Alligator mississippiensis: one gene and its partner. The protein of the gene in region 2 purifies or fractionates together with the protein of the main gene of each other region. This does not show direct contact. Links are inferred from orthologs where the notes say so. Each region holds a gene or a part of one and is shown on either strand. Other genes may lie near its edges. The genes, in order: CLK2 and PNN.

Region 1 (8,587 bases), on a different chromosome or scaffold from region 2:
CGAACGTGCTGAGCCCCAGCAGCTCAAAAGAGATGCACATGTGGCCGTGGTAGTCGAACCAGTCGAACATCCGCACGCAGAGGCTGAGAGAAGATGCTGGGGTTACGGGCAGTCATGCCGCTCGCACCCCTGCCCTGCTCTCACTGTGGTGTCACTTCATCCATGGCACAACTCATGGAGGAGCCGGGTGCCTACAAGAAGCTGTCCCAAGGCCAACCCTGTCCTCAGCCAGGGCAACGAATGGGGACAGCCCCGACTTCCTACAATCACACACAATACTCACTTCTTGTTCTCTGGGTCCTTCTCATTTATCTTCTCCAGCACGTTGATCTCCAGCCGCGCAGCCTCCTTGTACTTCTCCACGTTCTTTATGATTTTGAGTGCAACACGCGCACCACCCCTGGGGAGAGGCAGGAACAGGACTGTGAGCCTGAGGCCCGTGTGGCTCCAAGGGACATGGGCACCACAACCTCCACCCTTTCTGGGGCCACGTGGTAGAGCCCCAGTGACCCCCACCAGCTGAGACAGCAGATTTTACCCCCTGGTCCATCCCAGCCCATCCCACAGGGACCATGAACAGGACTGGATCAGATCAGTGCATGCTAAGTCCGAATAAGAAGGGACTCAATCACCCCGACACTCCAGCCTCCACACGAGCAAGGCTGCTGGACCCGTGCTCCCCCCCCAAGAAGGCAGCAGCCTGGCATGGTGTTGCCAGCTTGGTAGCACGCCTACCTCCGGTGATCCACGCACTGCACCACTCGGCCAAATGTACCTTCTCCTAGGGTGCTAATGATCTCATCTGAGAGGGAGGGAGAGAGAGAGAAAGGGCCATGAGGTGGAGAGCGGGACCTGGCTGTGGCACGTACACAAGGCAGAGAAGAATGCATTGCAACACCTAGCCTGCACGCTGGAGACCGGCAGGGCGGAAGGCCGAGACCGGCTGCACAAGGCAACTGCCCTACATCCCTGGCACTGCAGTAACAGTATAGAATATATATGTAGCTTTAATAAAAGGGGGTGGGGGGGAGAGAGGGCTTCTCTTTAATAAACAATGAAAATAAAATGAAACAAAGATAAGACAGATCTGCGACTGCGATGGGAGCTTAACTAGAGAGCTAAATTATGTTACGATTCGGCTGTACATCTTTCTTGTAGCCAGTCGCCGACGCGATAGATCAGATGCCCCTCGTCGTCGTCTTCCACACTCTTGGCCCTTCTGCTGCTCGGTCGACTCCGCTGCTGGCCCGGGCAGACAGGGAATTCATCATTCACCAGCCAATCAGATTTCAAACCAGCGCAGCAGCCGGCGTCACGCATTGGTTGGTTTGGAAATTCACATGGTTGTTTGAGGAGGGGTTGCAGGAGATTCCCAGCCAATTCATACGGCACAGAGGAATATATAACGATAGGGATATTGCAAGGGAACATGTCAAGATACAACACACTAGCTCAGAAAAGAAAAAAAACAGTTTGCTTTTTGTTGTAGCAAAAAAAAAAAAAAAAAAAAAAGATAAAAAAAAGAAAAAAAAGAAAAGAAAAAAAAATCCTACAAAACAGCCCCACCCGAACCAGCGCCAGAGCCAAGACGAGTGGGGGGGAAAGGGGGGACCCGGAGGGAGCCGGCTGCTCTTGCTCTTCCGGGGCTTTGGAGAGAAACGGTGCTGACATTCGGGTCCGCATTAAAGCCAGGAGAGCACACCGAGACACGGCTCTGCAGCCGAGGCTCAGTGGCTGTAGTGAGGGGCTTGCATCCTTGCATCAGCTGCCATGGAAGGGCAGCTGCAGGCGGCGCACTGCAAAATCCTTCAAAACAAAGGGCCAGGCCGCCCCCACACGGCCCCCTCCCCATTCCAACAGCCCAAGCCATGGCTTTCCCCCAATGCCATAGAGAAGGAAGAGCTAGGAGGCTTCAGAAGCAAGTGTCTGCACAACATTTCATCCAGAACCGGACGGACCTCACTAGTAACTGCCCCAAGGCCAATTGGATACCTCCAAGTCCACCCTCCACCCCCTCAAAGAAGCTGGTTCTGGAGACTAGCTCCCCGAGAGATGGGGAATGGGGAAGAGGAAAAGCCTAAGATAAGTCAGACAAGAGATTGCACCAAAAAAGAAAGAGTTCCTGCCACGGTTCTTCAGCTAGGAAACCCCACACTTCAGAGGGACCAGCCAGAAGCTCAGGGACTCAACCCCCACCCTGAATACAAAGCCCTTGACCTGGAGCAGCCCCAAGGCACAGCCAGGCCACAGCGGGCATTGGTGAGAGCCCCAGGTGCAGAGATCATGTGTCTTGGCCCTAACGGATGTGGAAGGCAAGTGGCAGAACAGACAAGAAAAGAAAGCCAAGACACTACACTGGGAAGAGCCTGCATGGCCATCTTCATCTGAATGACTGCTCCACAGGCCGATACACTCGACCAGAGCCCCCCTGCATAGCAGGGGCTGGAGCCAGGCACTGCGCCTCCAACTCAGACACAGAGGGCTGGGCCTCCTGCCACAGACCGCCCCGAAGGAGAAGCACAGCCGTGGCCTGCCAGAGGCCAGGCTCGTGGCCACAACCGGACTGAGCTCTCTGCAGCAAGGAAGGCAGAGCCTCGAGCGGGAGACCCTACGGTACCATAACACCAACATCAGCGCACAACAGCAGCAGGGATACAGGCTGGGGGCTGCAGCCCCTGTGGACAGCGGTTACCCCCGACAGACCTTAGGACCTGCCTGCGCCCTCCAGGGACCGGGCAGCCACGGCTCTGGCATGTCGCGGGGCGGCCAGGAGCTGCTGCCCGCACCAAGGTTATTTAGTCATTTCAAGCGCACTCAGAAACCACGTAAGGAAGGAAGCTTGCTACTTACCCAGCTCGCCACCTGGGAGAGAAAGGTTAAGGGGCAGCGTGCAGTCGGGTACTCACCGATGAAGAGCGGCTAAAGGACCGGCTGCGGCGCCGTCTCCGCCTGTGCTTACGCCGGCTGCTCTTGCAGCTGCGGTAGCTGCCCTCGCGGTCCCGGGAGCGCCGGTACTCATAGGAGTGGCGGTACTCAGCGTCGTAGTAGGCTTCCCCGCGCTCGCGGCTGTAGTCGTTGCGCCGGTAGCTGTCGCAGTAGCGCCGGTCGTAGGCTCGCCGGTCCACCGAGTGGTCTTCGTAACTAGGGCGGGAGGAGAGTGGCTGGGACCTGGCCCACAAGGGCAGCCCCGGGGGGCAAGGACGGGGGCAGCTCCGTGCAGGGACCCCGCGGTGGCTGTGGTGGGCACTCACCTCCGGGAGCGCACGTGGTAGCTGTCCTCCCGCCGGTGCCGCCGGTCCCGCTCGCTGCTGCTGGAGCGGGACCGCGAGCGCCGCCGCTTGTGCTTGCGGCTGCGGTAGCGCTCGCGGTAGCTGCCGCGGCTGCTGCGCTCCGACGAGCGGTACCTCCGCGAGTGAGGCATCTGCGGGGGGCGGCGGCGGCGTCAGTGCCGGGCCCGGGCGGAGCCACCCCGCGCCCAGGCCGGGCCACGGCGGCACCAGGGCCGGGTCCGCCCCGGTTCGCTGCTCCTCCCCGCCCCGCCCCGGGCCCCTGCGGCGGGGCCGCCCCGCGCCCGAGGACCGGACCGCGCCCCGCCCCACCCCACCCCACCCGGCCCAGCCCGGCCCGGCCCGGCCCGGCCCAGCCCCGCCCCGCCGCGCACCGTCCTGGCAGCCAGCCCGGTGCGCTTGTCCCACAGGAAATCCGTGGCGGCGGCGGGCGCGCGCGCACGCGCGCGGGCGGGCGGGGCGGGGCCGCGCTCCCTCCGCGCCGCTGCTCCGCGCCGCGCCGCTCGGGCCAGGCCGCGCTCCCCCGCCTCCGCCGCGGCGGCGCCGCGCGCACACCGCGTCACACGCCAGGCGTCGGACGTGCGCGCCGCGTCACACAGCCCCGGCCCCGCCCCTCCGTCGCGTCACCCGGGGAGCCCCGCCCCCGCGGCCCCGCCCCCGCCCGCTGACGTCCCGGCAGCCCCGGCCGCCCGCGCTGCCCTTGGCCCGCCCCGCCCCGTCCCGCCCCGCGCCGGCCGCCGCGGCCATGAGCCCCGGGGCGCGGGGCGGGCGCCCGGCCCAGCCCGTCTGACGAAGCATGGAGGCGGCGCCGGGCCCGGGGCCGCCGCCGGACGGGGAGGCCGCGGGGCGCCCGCGCGACGGCCCCGAGCACATGGCGGCGGGCGCCGAGGAGCCGGCGGGGCCGGGGCCGGGGCCGGGGCCGGGGCCGGGGCCGGGGCCGGGGGCCGGGGCGCGGCGGCAGCTCGGGGCCCTGCTGCAGCCGGCCGTCAACAAGTTCTCGCTGCGCATGTTCGGCAGCCACAAGGCGGTGGAGATCGAGCAGCGCCGCGTGCAGTCGGCCGGGCCCTGGATCATCCACCCCTACAGCGACTTCAGGTCAGCGCCGCTGTCCATGGTGCTGAGCAGCCCGCGCCGCGCCGCGCCGCGCCGGCCCGTGTGGGGCGGGAGAGCCGAGGGTGCTGGGGGTCTCCATCTCCGGACCTAGGCAGGAGCTGCCCCAAATCCAAGGGGATTCAGCGCTGCTCCGGCTCCGGGAGAGGGTGGCACCTGCGCGGGCTGGGAGGGCCCCGTGTTTCCCGGGGCCGGCGGGGGGACAGGGTGTCGTGCCAGGTGGGAGGACACAGACGTGCGTGGGGGGAGGAGGGGGGAGGCACAGGCGACGGGCATTCACCACAGAGCCTGCGCCTGCCCCTTGTGCCCCTTCCCAGACAGCCACGAGCCTGGGCACCTGCTGCCGGCGCCTCCCTCTCCCAATGCTGCCCCGGCCCTTAATCCCACTGCAGCGGCGGCCTCAGCGCACCCCATCCCTGCTCACACCCGCTCGTAACGTGCCAGACAAGCTAAGCTGCGGTTATCTCCGAGGTGATCTCCCCCGGCAGGGTGAAGGTGACCCAGTGACACAGGGTGGGGGGTGGGGGGATTATGCATTACGGCGGCACCACAAGCCCCGGCTGAGAGCAGGGCCCTGCGCTGGGTGGCGCGTGCAGAAACAGGCAGCCAGCCCCAAAGTGCTTGCAGCCTCCATCAGACACGAGCCCTGGGGACTGGGGCAGGAGGGACCAGCCAGTGCTGCTGGGGGCGGCTGAGCTGTGACTGGGGCCAGTGCCCATCAGGGCTGCATGTGGGTGTAGGTGGCATTAACTTCTCCTGCCAGACTCCTGAGCAGTCATGTCCTCCGACGGGCGGTGAGCAATCAGTAGGAAGCCCCTTGTCTGGCTGGTGAGGCCCCAGGCTGGGAGAGGTTACGCAGTCCTGTGGCACAGACCCGAGGCAGCCATGGCTAATCCTCCTTGCTGCTGCCATGGAGACTCGGGGCCTCGCCCACGCCAGCTCCCCAGCGGCTTGAGCTCCCTGTCCCTGTGCAGGGCTCCACGGGGCAGGGGCAGAGATGTCCTCCACGTGGCATCAGCATTTCCTACTTTCCCCTTTGCCACCGCACTGTCTACAGCGTTCCCGGTGCCTTGCGGTTCACCACTGACTAGGTGGCCCCGTCCCTTCATGGGCTTGGGGCCTCTGTGAGAGGCTCCAGGTTACAGAGAGGAAGACAGAGGAGTGAAGAGCAAGGGGTAGGGCCCTGGCTCTAAAGTGCTGGACTGTGCCCCCTGGCTACATTTGGGACCAAGTGACAATGTCCAGGTCGGACCCTGACTCACATCTACCGCTTTCTGCATGTAGAGACCAGGCTGGGTCTGGGGGGTAGAGAGCATGGGAGTGGGCAGGTTTTAGATATCCAGGAAAGGGGCTGTATGGGTGTCCCAAGGTCCTGGCTCGCGCGTGCATGAAGCTGGGACACTGTGTGTGTGACTGCACATGAGGGCATCTGGCTGTGCTCTGCCCAGCTGCAGAGCAGTTACCCTGTGCACCTTGGCCTGGCTGGTGCTTAGGATCATAGGAGCGAGGGCTAGAAAGGACCTTGGGAGTCATAGAGTCCAGCCCCTACTCACAGCAGGACAAGCCCCAACTAGATCATCCCAGCCAGGGCATGTTGGGATGTGTCTGTGCCTCTGGGACACTTGTCTGGGCTGAGGGCCTGATCCAGAGGGAATCCAAGCCCAGGGCCCCTGGGCCAGCTTCACCTGCATGGGGCTTGCAGGGAGCGGCTTCCTCAGGCCTTCTGCTCATTGGTTTGAGCAGAGGCCCAGCTAGTAGGGCATCCATGTGGCCTGGTCTTCATTGTCCGCACGCTGCCGTAGCTCCGAGCCATGACTAGGCACAGCACATTTGCCTAGTAGCTGCAAGAAAGGCAGGTGCTGATTCTGAGCCTGCAGTAGTTTGCTCTGGCAGGGGTCAGGGGAGGACAAGGGAGGTGATGATCGGGGGCTGGGGTTCAGGGTTGTAGATGTGATGGGGAAGGCCTTGGCAAGGCCCCTGGCAGAGACTGGACCTGTGGGGAAGGGGCCAGCCCGGGCTGCACAGCAGGACAACGGCAGGTTGGGATGGAGCCGAGAAGTTGAGGCCTGGCTGGGGCTTTGCCCATGATGTCAGGTGGTGTGGGGAGAGGCCAGGCTGGAGCTCCCCGAGACACCCAGACAGCACCTGTCTGCAGCCACCTCCCCCAGGCACCCTGGATGCGTGGCAGAAGCCACATCTCTGTGCTGTCCCCTGAGGCTCCAGCCGCTCTGAGGATATTTCCCTTCTCTCCCCACTGCTCTGCGCCCCCCCCCCCAACAGGTTCTACTGGGACCTCATTATGCTCCTGCTGATGGTGGGGAACCTGATCATCCTGCCCGTAGGCATCACCTTCTTCAAGGACGAGAACACGCCGCCCTGGATCGTCTTCAATGTGCTCTCCGACACCTTCTTCCTGGCCGACCTGGTACTAAACTTCCGCACAGGCATCGTAGTGGAGGACAACACAGAGATCATCCTGGACCCCCACACCATCAAAACAAAGTACCTTAAGAGCTGGTTCCTGGTTGATTTCATCTCCTCCATCCCTGTTGACTACATCTTCCTCATCGTCGACCTGGAGACTCAGGTGGACTCAGACGTCTACAAGACAGCGCGGGCTCTGCGCATAGTGCGCTTCACCAAGATCCTCAGCCTGCTGCGCCTACTGCGCCTCTCTCGCCTCATCCGCTACATCCACCAGTGGGAGGAGGTGGGTGGCCAGGAGCCAGCCGGAGGGGCTGAGGGGCATCCTAGGGGCTCGTGCCTGGGGAAGGTGGAGGGTGAGTGGGGCCCCCTGGCCAGGAGTTCAGGTGCCGCTGGTTGCAAGGTGAGGAGCTCACCAGGGACCTGGTGCCTGAAGATGGGGGAGCTCTTCCCTTCCCCATGGATGCCCTGGGGAGCAGTGGTTCCTTACTGTCTTGCTCCCGGCTTCCCCTATGCCCAGATTTTCCACATGACCTATGACCTGGCCAGCGCTGTGGTGCGGATCTTCAACCTAATTGGCATGATGCTACTGCTATGCCACTGGGACGGCTGCCTCCAGTTCCTGGTGCCCATGCTGCAGGACTTCCCTGAGGACTGCTGGGTCTCCATCAATCACATGGTGGTGAGTGCCATGCTTCCCCACTCCTGGAGCCCAGCCCCAGGCCTCCGCAGCTGCCAGCAGGAGCTCCCACTTGGGTGAGGTTGCACGTGGTCCAGGGCGGGAGACTCCCCACCCACCCCAGTCTAAAGCATCTGCTCATGCACACACTCTTGCTTGCATCCTGGCACGTGCACACGTGCTCACTCTTACACATGTGCCCTAAGCTCCTGAGCCAGGAGCTTGCAGAGGTCCTGCAGGCTGCTGCGACCCTGGGGCACCAGTCAGGTGGGAGGGAGTGAGGGAGATCACGGCTCACTTCTGCAGCCAGCAGGGCAGATCTATCCCACCAGGTGCTAAGGGAGAGCAGGGAGGGGGCTCCTGCTGCTTCCATGGGGGCCCAGCCCAGAAGGTGTGGCCCTGGGAGGTGGGTGATCCTGGGTTTTCAGGCAGCGGGGGCTGCTGGGGCACAGCTCCATCCCCCTTTCCATACCTCCTGTCTCCAGAATGACTCATGGGGGAAACAGTACTCGCACGCCCTGTTCAAGGCCATGAGCCACATGCTGTGCATTGGCTATGGGCAGCAGGCCCCAGAGGGCATGACCGACGTCTGGCTCACTATGCTTAGCATGATCGTGGGCGCCACCTGCTACGCTATGTTCATTGGCCATGCCACCGCCCTCATCCAGTCACTGGACTCATCCCGTCGACAGTACCAGGAGAAGGTGCGTGGGGGAGGCAGGAGATGTGCCTGGGGCTGCCGGGAGGGATCTGGGGTATGAGTCCAGAACAAATTGACCTGGTGCCCACAGCTGCTCGACATGGGAGTTGGCCATGCTCCTAGCTCCTGCCCTCAGGCCCTGGTACTTGGGGAGGGCTGCAGGTGGGACCATGAGCTGACAGTGCCCCTCCACCCTCATGGAGCCAAAGGCCCTGGAGTGTGGTTACTGCCCTCTCCATAGGGGTTCTGCTACAGAAGAGGGTTTCCAGCTCCCCCTGTGAGCTTGTGTCCGTCTGTCTGTCCCTCCAGTACAAGCAGGTGGAGCAGTACATGTCGTTCCACAAGCTGCCTGGTGACATGCGCCAACGCATCCATGAGTACTATGAG
Region 2 (8,198 bases):
GAAGAGCAGCAGGCACAAGTTAGGAACAAAGCTATCTCCAGCTTTATACTCTAGTTTTTCTCCTTCACTTGATCCAGCCTAAAGTATCAGCTCTACATACTCCTAAAGCAGGTGATGTACAGAAGCTACTTAAAAATAAAAACACATATTAACTTAATCTTGTTTTACTGAAAGAGTATTTAGCTCTGTATTAATGGTAAAAGATTTAACTCCTCTTAAACTGCACACTGAGTGAGGCATATCTTAAATCTTATCTGAGCCTGCTGTGAAATCAACATTTGATAAAAAGACCTGCTTCTACAGAATATATTTAAATGTGACATGTTTCATATAAATTTTCATTTGTCAATAAAACGGGTAAGGTTTCAAGAAGATAAAGTCCATACCAAGGGCCAAATACTGGCCAGCAAGCCCCATGCACTCCCAACATTCCCAACCCCTCTAATCTTGTGGCGATGATGATAAGACACTTAAATACGGCAACTCAGAAATAGAGCTTTAAATCAATGTCTTTAAAAGGCTGAATAAAAATCAGTTACACATTCCTTTAATTGTTTTATTAAAGGTGACGTGCAAAAAAAATAAAAAAAAAAAAATAAAGAGAATTGTAGGACTATATAATCTACATAGCTAAATGCTTCCATTAACATTAGAATAAATATATACACCCAATTTTACCCCCCCCATCAGAATTATGAATAGTGTAAATTCAAGACTGATAATCCAGAAAAAATGCAATTTCTTTTTCATGGGAGGCCCTATGCATTGTATATTTTCCAGAGAAGAACAAATAAACCAGGATTTCATGACTGCTGAGACAGTCATATTGCTGTTGGTCTGATACTGGTCCTGTAAAATCATCACCATCAAAAGTTAGATTTGGAACATCCAATCTTGAAGAAGTTTATCAATCTGGGATTATTTCACAAACTATTACCGATTCTGAGCATTAGATTTATTAAATCATAACAGCCATTTACCCTAGTGTAGTCTCTACAGGTACTTTTTTTTTTTTCTTTTTTTACCTACCTACTGGTTGCCCCTTCAAGATCCCTCTGTTTGGCTGGGGGTCCTCCTCCGCTATCCGAGAATCCACGCCTAAAAAGAGACAGCTAAAGATGATGTCCAAGAACAGGTCAGGAATCCCAAATTCAGGAGTTCCTAACCCCAAGTCTGCTTCTGGTTTACTGTTTTGTAGGCAAGTCTGTTTCTGTTCAGAGATGGTAAAGGTAATAGTTTTTTAAGGCAGCAGCAAGAATACAGCATTTTACAAAGACCAACAAAATGGCCCATATTCTTGCTCTATGGAGCAAATAATTTCAAGTCAAATCCTGCAAACACTGATTCACATGAACAGCAATACTAACTTAAATAGTGTCATCCCCACTCCCCCTCATCAACTTCAGTAAGGCTACTCATGCAAACAGAGTTACTCAGGTTATAAGTGTGGACAGTTTAAGAATGCTGTATTAGTATTAAGTTTTCACCAAAAATAACAGTTAAAAGAGCCTGTAAGTCTACCTATTCAGTACCAGAGAAAATACATTTTAAAATGGAGCAATATTAGGAAATAACTCTTCCAACTTCTAATTTTAAAGAGAGAAACAAAAAACATTCCACTTCTTGCCACCAGACCTGTTTCATTCAAAGTTATATATTATGATCGTTAGCAGTTTTAAAACTTCTATCCCTTGGCTTCAACAAAGTCTTTTGCTAAAGTAATACCTCTTTTCTGACACTGCCAAGTTTTGCTTTTGAACCATATCTAAAAGTTAAGCTTACAGACACAACAGCACAATTTAAGGGCCTTGTTACATATTACACTGTAAGCTTCACAAATGTTAATGGACGTTAGTACTGGCTCAAGTTTGGAGGAGTCACATGCCAGGCCAGCAGGAGCCTGGAGAACTGAAAGGAAGAATCCTGCCCCCCTCCATTACAGGCTTCCCCTCTGCCCCATAAGTTCCACCCCCTTCCATTTCTGGCTGTCTGCACTGACTGTCTTGGAGGAGCAGGCAGGGAAGGGTTAACCCATTTACCCCCACCCCCTTCTCCAGGCTGAGCCTGCCTAGACTGCAGCAACACTTAATGCTTCCCTTTCTGCTCCCCTGGGAGTGTGTGTGTGTGTGTGTGTGTGGGGGGGGGGGGGGGGGGGGTGAAGAAGAGACAGGATTTTTTTTAGACAAAAGTATAGCCTAGAGTAGCTAGCTACACAATAGTGCAACACCAGCAGGGTACCACAGATCAGAAATAATCCTGCCCTGGGGTGGTGTAAGTTTGAGAGGCATACCAAGTGGTCAAAACTAGTTTTAGGTGTTAACGTGTAGAAAATCCAGGGGTTAAGAGCTCCAGCAGTCACCTGTGTAACAGAGCTCTGGCTCTCTTAGCCCCACATCCCATCTAGGCACTAGACAGGACCCCATACAATAGCACCCAAGTGCCTTACCCAGCAATTTGCAATCAGGGGGCTGCAAAGCATCAGCATTGGCAGAAATGCATACATCCGGCACAATCCCCGAGATGGCAAATGAGAATGGCCAGAGTCCAGAGCACGGGATCCCTGCTGGGGCCTCCCCAAGGTCTCTGCTACAGGAGACTGCTCCGCTATTTAATTTCACAGACAAAAACGAGGGCAAGAGAAGAGCTGCTGAGCCGCTGCCCGAGGGGGAAGCGGGAGTCTGAGACATGCGGCTCCAGCCCTTTCAAGCAAGGAGCCTGTGGCGGCTCTGCAAGCAGTACCCAGCAGCAGGGCCCCAAAGGGGAGAAACCCAAGAGAAGCAGCAAGGACAGAAACATGTGGGGGTCGCCGGTCCTTACCTCAGCAGTAAGCTACCGCGGCCTCTACCTCCACCAGGGCCTGCGATGGGTAACAGCCTGCTCTGAGGGGGCCTGCAAGAAACGGAGCGCGCGTTAGGAAGGCTGCGAGCCGCCCAGGGGGCTCCGAGACCGCCCCGGAGCGCCGCACAGGCGGGCCAGGGCCACCCAGCGCGCCGGGCGAGAGGGAAGGCACCCACGCCCTCGATCAGGACCCCTCCTCCCCCCGCCGGGAGCAGCGGAGCAGCCCGGGGGAGGCTCCGCGGGGCCCAGGCGCGAAGCGGACACGCTCGGCCGCACCTGACATCGTTGGGGTCCCGGCCCGTGAGCTTGCGGATGTTCTCATCCACGTGCTTGAGGCTTTCCTTGGCCTTCTCCAGCTGCTCCTGCAGCGCGCGCACCGCCACCGCCATCCCGCCCGCAGCGTGGCCTAACTGCGGCCTAGCGCAAAGCACCGCTGGGTAACGGGGAGCGAGACGTGCCGCCCGCCCGCGCCCCGCCAATCAGAGAGCCAGACACGATCCGTCAGTAGCCAATTCCGAGCCGCCTCCTCGCGCCAATGCCCCTGCCCTGAGTCGAAGGACGTTCTCTGCACCCAATTACCGCCTAACCAGCTAACCAATTACAGAGCCGCACATCTGAGTGACATGTCCCACACCCAACCAGCCAGGGCCCTCCCCTGCTACCTCCAGAAATCCCTAAACGGGCAAGCAGAACGGCGTTGCCTTTTAACCAATCACCGCCGCTCCGTTTCTTCGTATCAACCAATCAGAGTCAGGATGAAGATTGACACTTCCCCAAACCGCCCCCCCGATAGCGCCCACAGCCCCTCCTCCCATCCAGCGGAAAGCGAGGGATGGGACTTGAAAGAGGAGGGGGTGGGTCCCAGGCAGCGACTAATCAGATTGTCAGATGCTCCATGCCCCGCCGACAAACGAGCCAATGGCAAGGCGCTTTATTGATAATGCTGCGACTCAAGGGCTTGCGCCAGTCATCTCAGCGGTCGCGGGTTTAGTTGCTCCCGCGCGGCCTGAGTGGGTTACGTGTCTGATACCACTGCCGCGGCCTACTGCCGGCCTGCTACACAGCGCCGCCGTCCCTGAGCCGGGTCCCTTACTAGGACCTCGTGCCGCAGCCCTGGCATTTCTCGGGGGAGCCGGTGCAGCGAAATCCGGCTCTACGCCCGCGGGGCGACGACACACGGCCTCGGCCCGGGCTCGCTGACCTCGGTCTCCGCTCTGCGCAGAGGGGTAGCAAGCTACTAGGCCGGCGGTGCAGCCCCTGTCGCGTGTTGCCGGCACTGCTGGGTGCAGACGAGGTTCACAGGATAAACCCCGAAATTTCAAATGCGAATCCTTAGCGCGGAAACCATTCTGCCCTGCGTTGGGATCTGTGCAGCTGGCCTGCTGTACCCGCCTGCTATAGTAAAAACTGAAGTCTGAATTAGGAGCTGGTACTGCGGGGGCGGGGGGCCCTGCAGCTGTGGGAGGGGTAGGGGACGGCTCCCTCTCTGCTGGGTCAGGACCAAATCGATTTATATCCTGACTTGCATCACGATTTAACTCGCTGGTTATTTTAGTTACCAAAGTTAACTGAGGCAGATACATGTGAAGTCACTGGGAAGTGAACTATCCAATTCAATAGGTTAATCATGGATATTTGGGGGATATTTTTGCCATGCTGTATTAGGAAGACAATAACCAAAAACAACAGACTTTTAAATTGTTTTATTAACTAGAACAATAAGGTTATGTATTTTGGATAGTTTTCAACAACAGATATGTATAATTATTTTAACAAAAGGATGCATATTTTTGAATTTTTAACTAGTTTAGTTATAAATGTGAAATGTGTTTTTAACAAAAATTTAAAAGATTATTTTAGCCAGGTCAACATGAGATATGTAAAATATTGGGTTATGCAGCAAACTCAGTCTTCACCTTCCTCTTCCTGTTTATTCAAAGACTGGAAAAGAAAGACAAGCTTTCCTGCTTTTTCAGTTCCCAAATGATTTCTCAATTTAGAATGAACCAGTCCAAAGGAAGAAAATAGTCTTTCTATACCTGCAGAAGAAGAAGCTACTGCTGTTAAAAGCTGGATTATCACTTCAATAGTTTCTGGTGGATCTAGGTGCTTAAGTGACTTCCACCAGTTCACTGGTGTGACTTTCTTTAAAACTTCATCAGCAAACATATATTTCTTGAATGGTTCACCCACCCTTAGCTCTGAAATTCATTATGGTTGGTATTATGGAGGGATGATTGCTGGATGCCCATGTCATAGCCAAGTCCTCTTCAGCAGTTAAGGATTGACCCTGGTACTGAGTATTGAGAACATTGGCAAGAAAGTGAGCTGGAGATAGTGCTTGATCCATTCGTTGTTTTAATGCCTGTAATTTAACTCTGTCATTGCAGATTTCTCTCTTCAAGTTCTCACTCAGTTCCTTCCAAATTTCAACAGCATCAGCAATAAAACAGCGATTTCCCTTCACTTTGTTCAAGGCTACAGAAATAGGCTTCAGGATAGTCAGCACACGTTCCACATTTCTCTTTAGCCCAATGTCGAGAACTTTAGCTATGACAGTTCCATCTATTTTGTCATGATTTTGTTCACAAACTCATCAAGTTAGGCCAGTTCTCAATATATTGCTCAAAACAGTCCACTACTGAGTTCCATTTCTGGTCTTGTGGGAGAGTTAGTTTGGTGCCTCCTGCTTTCTTCAGAGCAGCTGCTGCAAAGTGGCTGTTAAGGAAGTATTTTGCAATTTCAGCAACATTAGCCTTTATTTCTGGAGCACTGAAGTCTTTGGCTAAGAGGTGCATCAAATGAGCGCTGCAGCTATATGTTATTAGCTTGGGGCTTTCCTTACTTTCTTCTAGATTTCTTCTCATCTTTGATATATTTGCAGCATTGTCTGTGACAAAGCTGCCTACTAGACATTTCAATGTTTTTTCACAGTTTGTTATAGCTTTTACTGTTACTTCTTGTAAGTATTCTGCTGTGTATGCATTTCCTGATGTATCAACCGTTTCTGTAAGGTAGACAGTCCCTTCTTCTGTGGTCACACAAGCACATATTACTGGATCATTGTGCACATTGCTCCACCCATCAAGACTCAGGTTAACAATTTTCCCCTCCAGACTTTTTGCACACTGTTCAATTTCTCTCTCATACACTTTATCCAGCAATTTGCCTACTATATCTGCTCTTTTGGGTGGACTGTATCCCGGTCGTAATAACTGAACCATGTCAATGAAGTGTGTGTTCTCAACTATACAGAAAGGCGCGTTTGTTGCATAAACAAACCGAGCAATTTTTTCATCAAGTACCTCATGCTGTAATCTGTTGGTTCTTATTCTAAATGTATCTATGGTGGTTTCTGGATTAAGGAGATTTTTTTCCTTTTTGCTACTGGTGATGTACTACGTGACATACATTTGACTGGAACACTGGTATCATTAATAGGTAACTCTGAAATTGTAGACAGTGATGATGTTGAAGATGGATAGTCAGAATCCTGTATGTTGAGGATGCATCCTCCTGAACAAAAGAAGTCAATGCAGTCACTACAGTACAACTCATTTAGTAGTACTCATTGTACTCAGTACTATTTTAGAAGTAAAACTGTAAAAGGAAGATCTGCCTATTTCAGCCATTATTTTAGATCACAACTGCACTAAAATATGGTAGTTCTATAAAGTAACTATATTTTTCTCAATTTTATGAGAATTCAAGTAGTCCTGAAGTCCTTCCACAAGCTATGAACAGGGGAGATGGGCAGTCCGTAAGACAGAAATATGAAATAAGAAAATTTACTAACCTGGAGATCCTCCATGTTCAGACATGTTCCATTCATCATCTTCAAAGCAGTTTTCTCCTGAGAAGGAGCACTTCTCAAGATGTTTCATTCGGGCAACCAGGCCTTGCATTTCTTTGTTACATTGTTTGCATTTTGCACGCATGCCTGTCTTCCCCAACGGTGGAGGAATTTTAATGAAATATTCCCAAACAGGGTCTTTTTTACGGCCTGGCAAGCCTGCTGCCATGATAGGTTTTCCCTTCTACCATACCAGTCCCTCACTAGATCTCAAATCAGTGGAGAGGCTATACTCAGAAGGATATTCCTCACAACTTCTGGAATCTTCTGCTCAAAATGTGCCTCTGTTGTTTCTACTTCCCCTCCCTCCTTGCATTTATTTCCAGACTCCTCCTTTCCCAGATCTACTCTACCTCCTATCCTCTATTCATTTAACTTCTTGAAACTTTGCACTTCTAGAGAGAGGTAAGGGCTTGACTCTATATACACACAAACTTAAAGAAACAATAGGGCTGATGGGCAGGCAATCAGGTCTTATCTCTCATCTCCAGATACTGCTGTTAACAAGGCTGTTATCTCTGGAAACAGAAGGGTGTTTGTGCCCAAAGCAGGGTAGATAAAAATCAATGATTAAGAAAAAATAAATTTAAAAATTGGATTTTTTTAAAATTTAAAAATTGGATTTTTTTAAAATCGTCAATAAAGTACTAAATTTCTATCTTGTTTAAAAAATAACAGTTACAGTTAAACCTCATCACAAATATGATAAACCTACACTTACAGTCTCATAAAAATGAATTAATGGCTCTGTCTCACACACAGACACTCACACATTGAGTTACCTATCAATCAAACATGGGCATTCATTTCAATTTTTCATCTCATGAAAATGGCTCTAGTCTGTCTGTCCAGCCCAACTACCAGCTCTTGCTTCTTGAAAGTTCTGGGCTTTCAGTTTCTGTTTCTCAGCAGACTAAAGTCACGTGCAGACAGGCTGGATAGGATTGTTGTTCTTATGTGGGGGTGGAGCTGGGCCAAGCAAGGCAGAGGAGTTAGTTAAGACTTTCTTAAAGACAGAAACAATATAGGAAAGGATGGAGGCAGAATAGAAAGGAACAGTGGACTGGAAAAAGGAAAGACATTATTCGGTAGTACACACACAGCTTCCTATATTCCCCCACACTTTTGCCAAAAAAACAAACAAACAAAAACACACAGTCACGGCTTCCGAGTGTAAAAGAGACCCTATCTGGGAATATTTTGAAGCAATTCCTTCCCTGGGTAAAAATGGAAAATGTGTCAAGTGTAAGAAATACAAGAAGGAGATTGCAAGGCCTTGTTGCAAGAAAGAAACATAATGAAAACTGCTTATTGGGAGAAAATGATGTGGATGAAGATGTGGATATGTCTGAAGAACAGTGTGGATCAGATTAAATAATTCACTTTGCAACGCACTGTTCTTCAAGACTCTTTCTATGCCTTTTAGTATAAGTGTGATTTAACAAATAAATTCCCAAGCTGTTTGCCATGTTGGATGGTGCTAGAAAAAAAGTTTAGCCAATTCTTA

The links.
Region 1: the proteins of PNN (region 2) and CLK2 purify together in Homo sapiens (affinity purification with mass spectrometry; 3 studies listed by BioGRID and IntAct, counting the BioPlex papers as one, with this or other methods). This does not show direct contact. The link is inferred for Alligator mississippiensis from reciprocal best matches to the Homo sapiens genes PNN and CLK2.

The regions. Positions count from the first base shown.
Region 1 is NC_081838.1:12,591,748-12,600,334, reverse strand, and holds the start of CLK2 (dual specificity protein kinase CLK2), read right to left. Parts: upstream 3,788-8,587; 5' UTR 3,662-3,787; intron 3,422-3,661; coding exon 3,252-3,421; intron 3,142-3,251; coding exon 2,907-3,141; intron 1,243-2,906; coding exon 1,146-1,242; intron 803-1,145; coding exon 736-802; intron 401-735; coding exon 284-400; intron 84-283; coding exon 1-83. Other genes in the region: HCN3 (potassium/sodium hyperpolarization-activated cyclic nucleotide-gated channel 3), read left to right, coding at 4,084-4,382, 6,678-7,107, 7,342-7,503, 7,986-8,204, 8,510-8,587. UniProt on the Homo sapiens protein: Dual specificity kinase acting on both serine/threonine and tyrosine-containing substrates. Phosphorylates serine- and arginine-rich (SR) proteins of the spliceosomal complex.
Region 2 is NC_081825.1:260,160,542-260,168,739, reverse strand, and holds the start of PNN (pinin), read right to left. Parts: upstream 3,327-8,198; 5' UTR 3,228-3,326; coding exon 3,115-3,227; intron 2,890-3,114; coding exon 2,818-2,889; intron 1,099-2,817; coding exon 1,030-1,098; intron 1-1,029. UniProt on the Homo sapiens protein: Transcriptional activator binding to the E-box 1 core sequence of the E-cadherin promoter gene; the core-binding sequence is 5'CAGGTG-3'. Capable of reversing CTBP1-mediated transcription repression.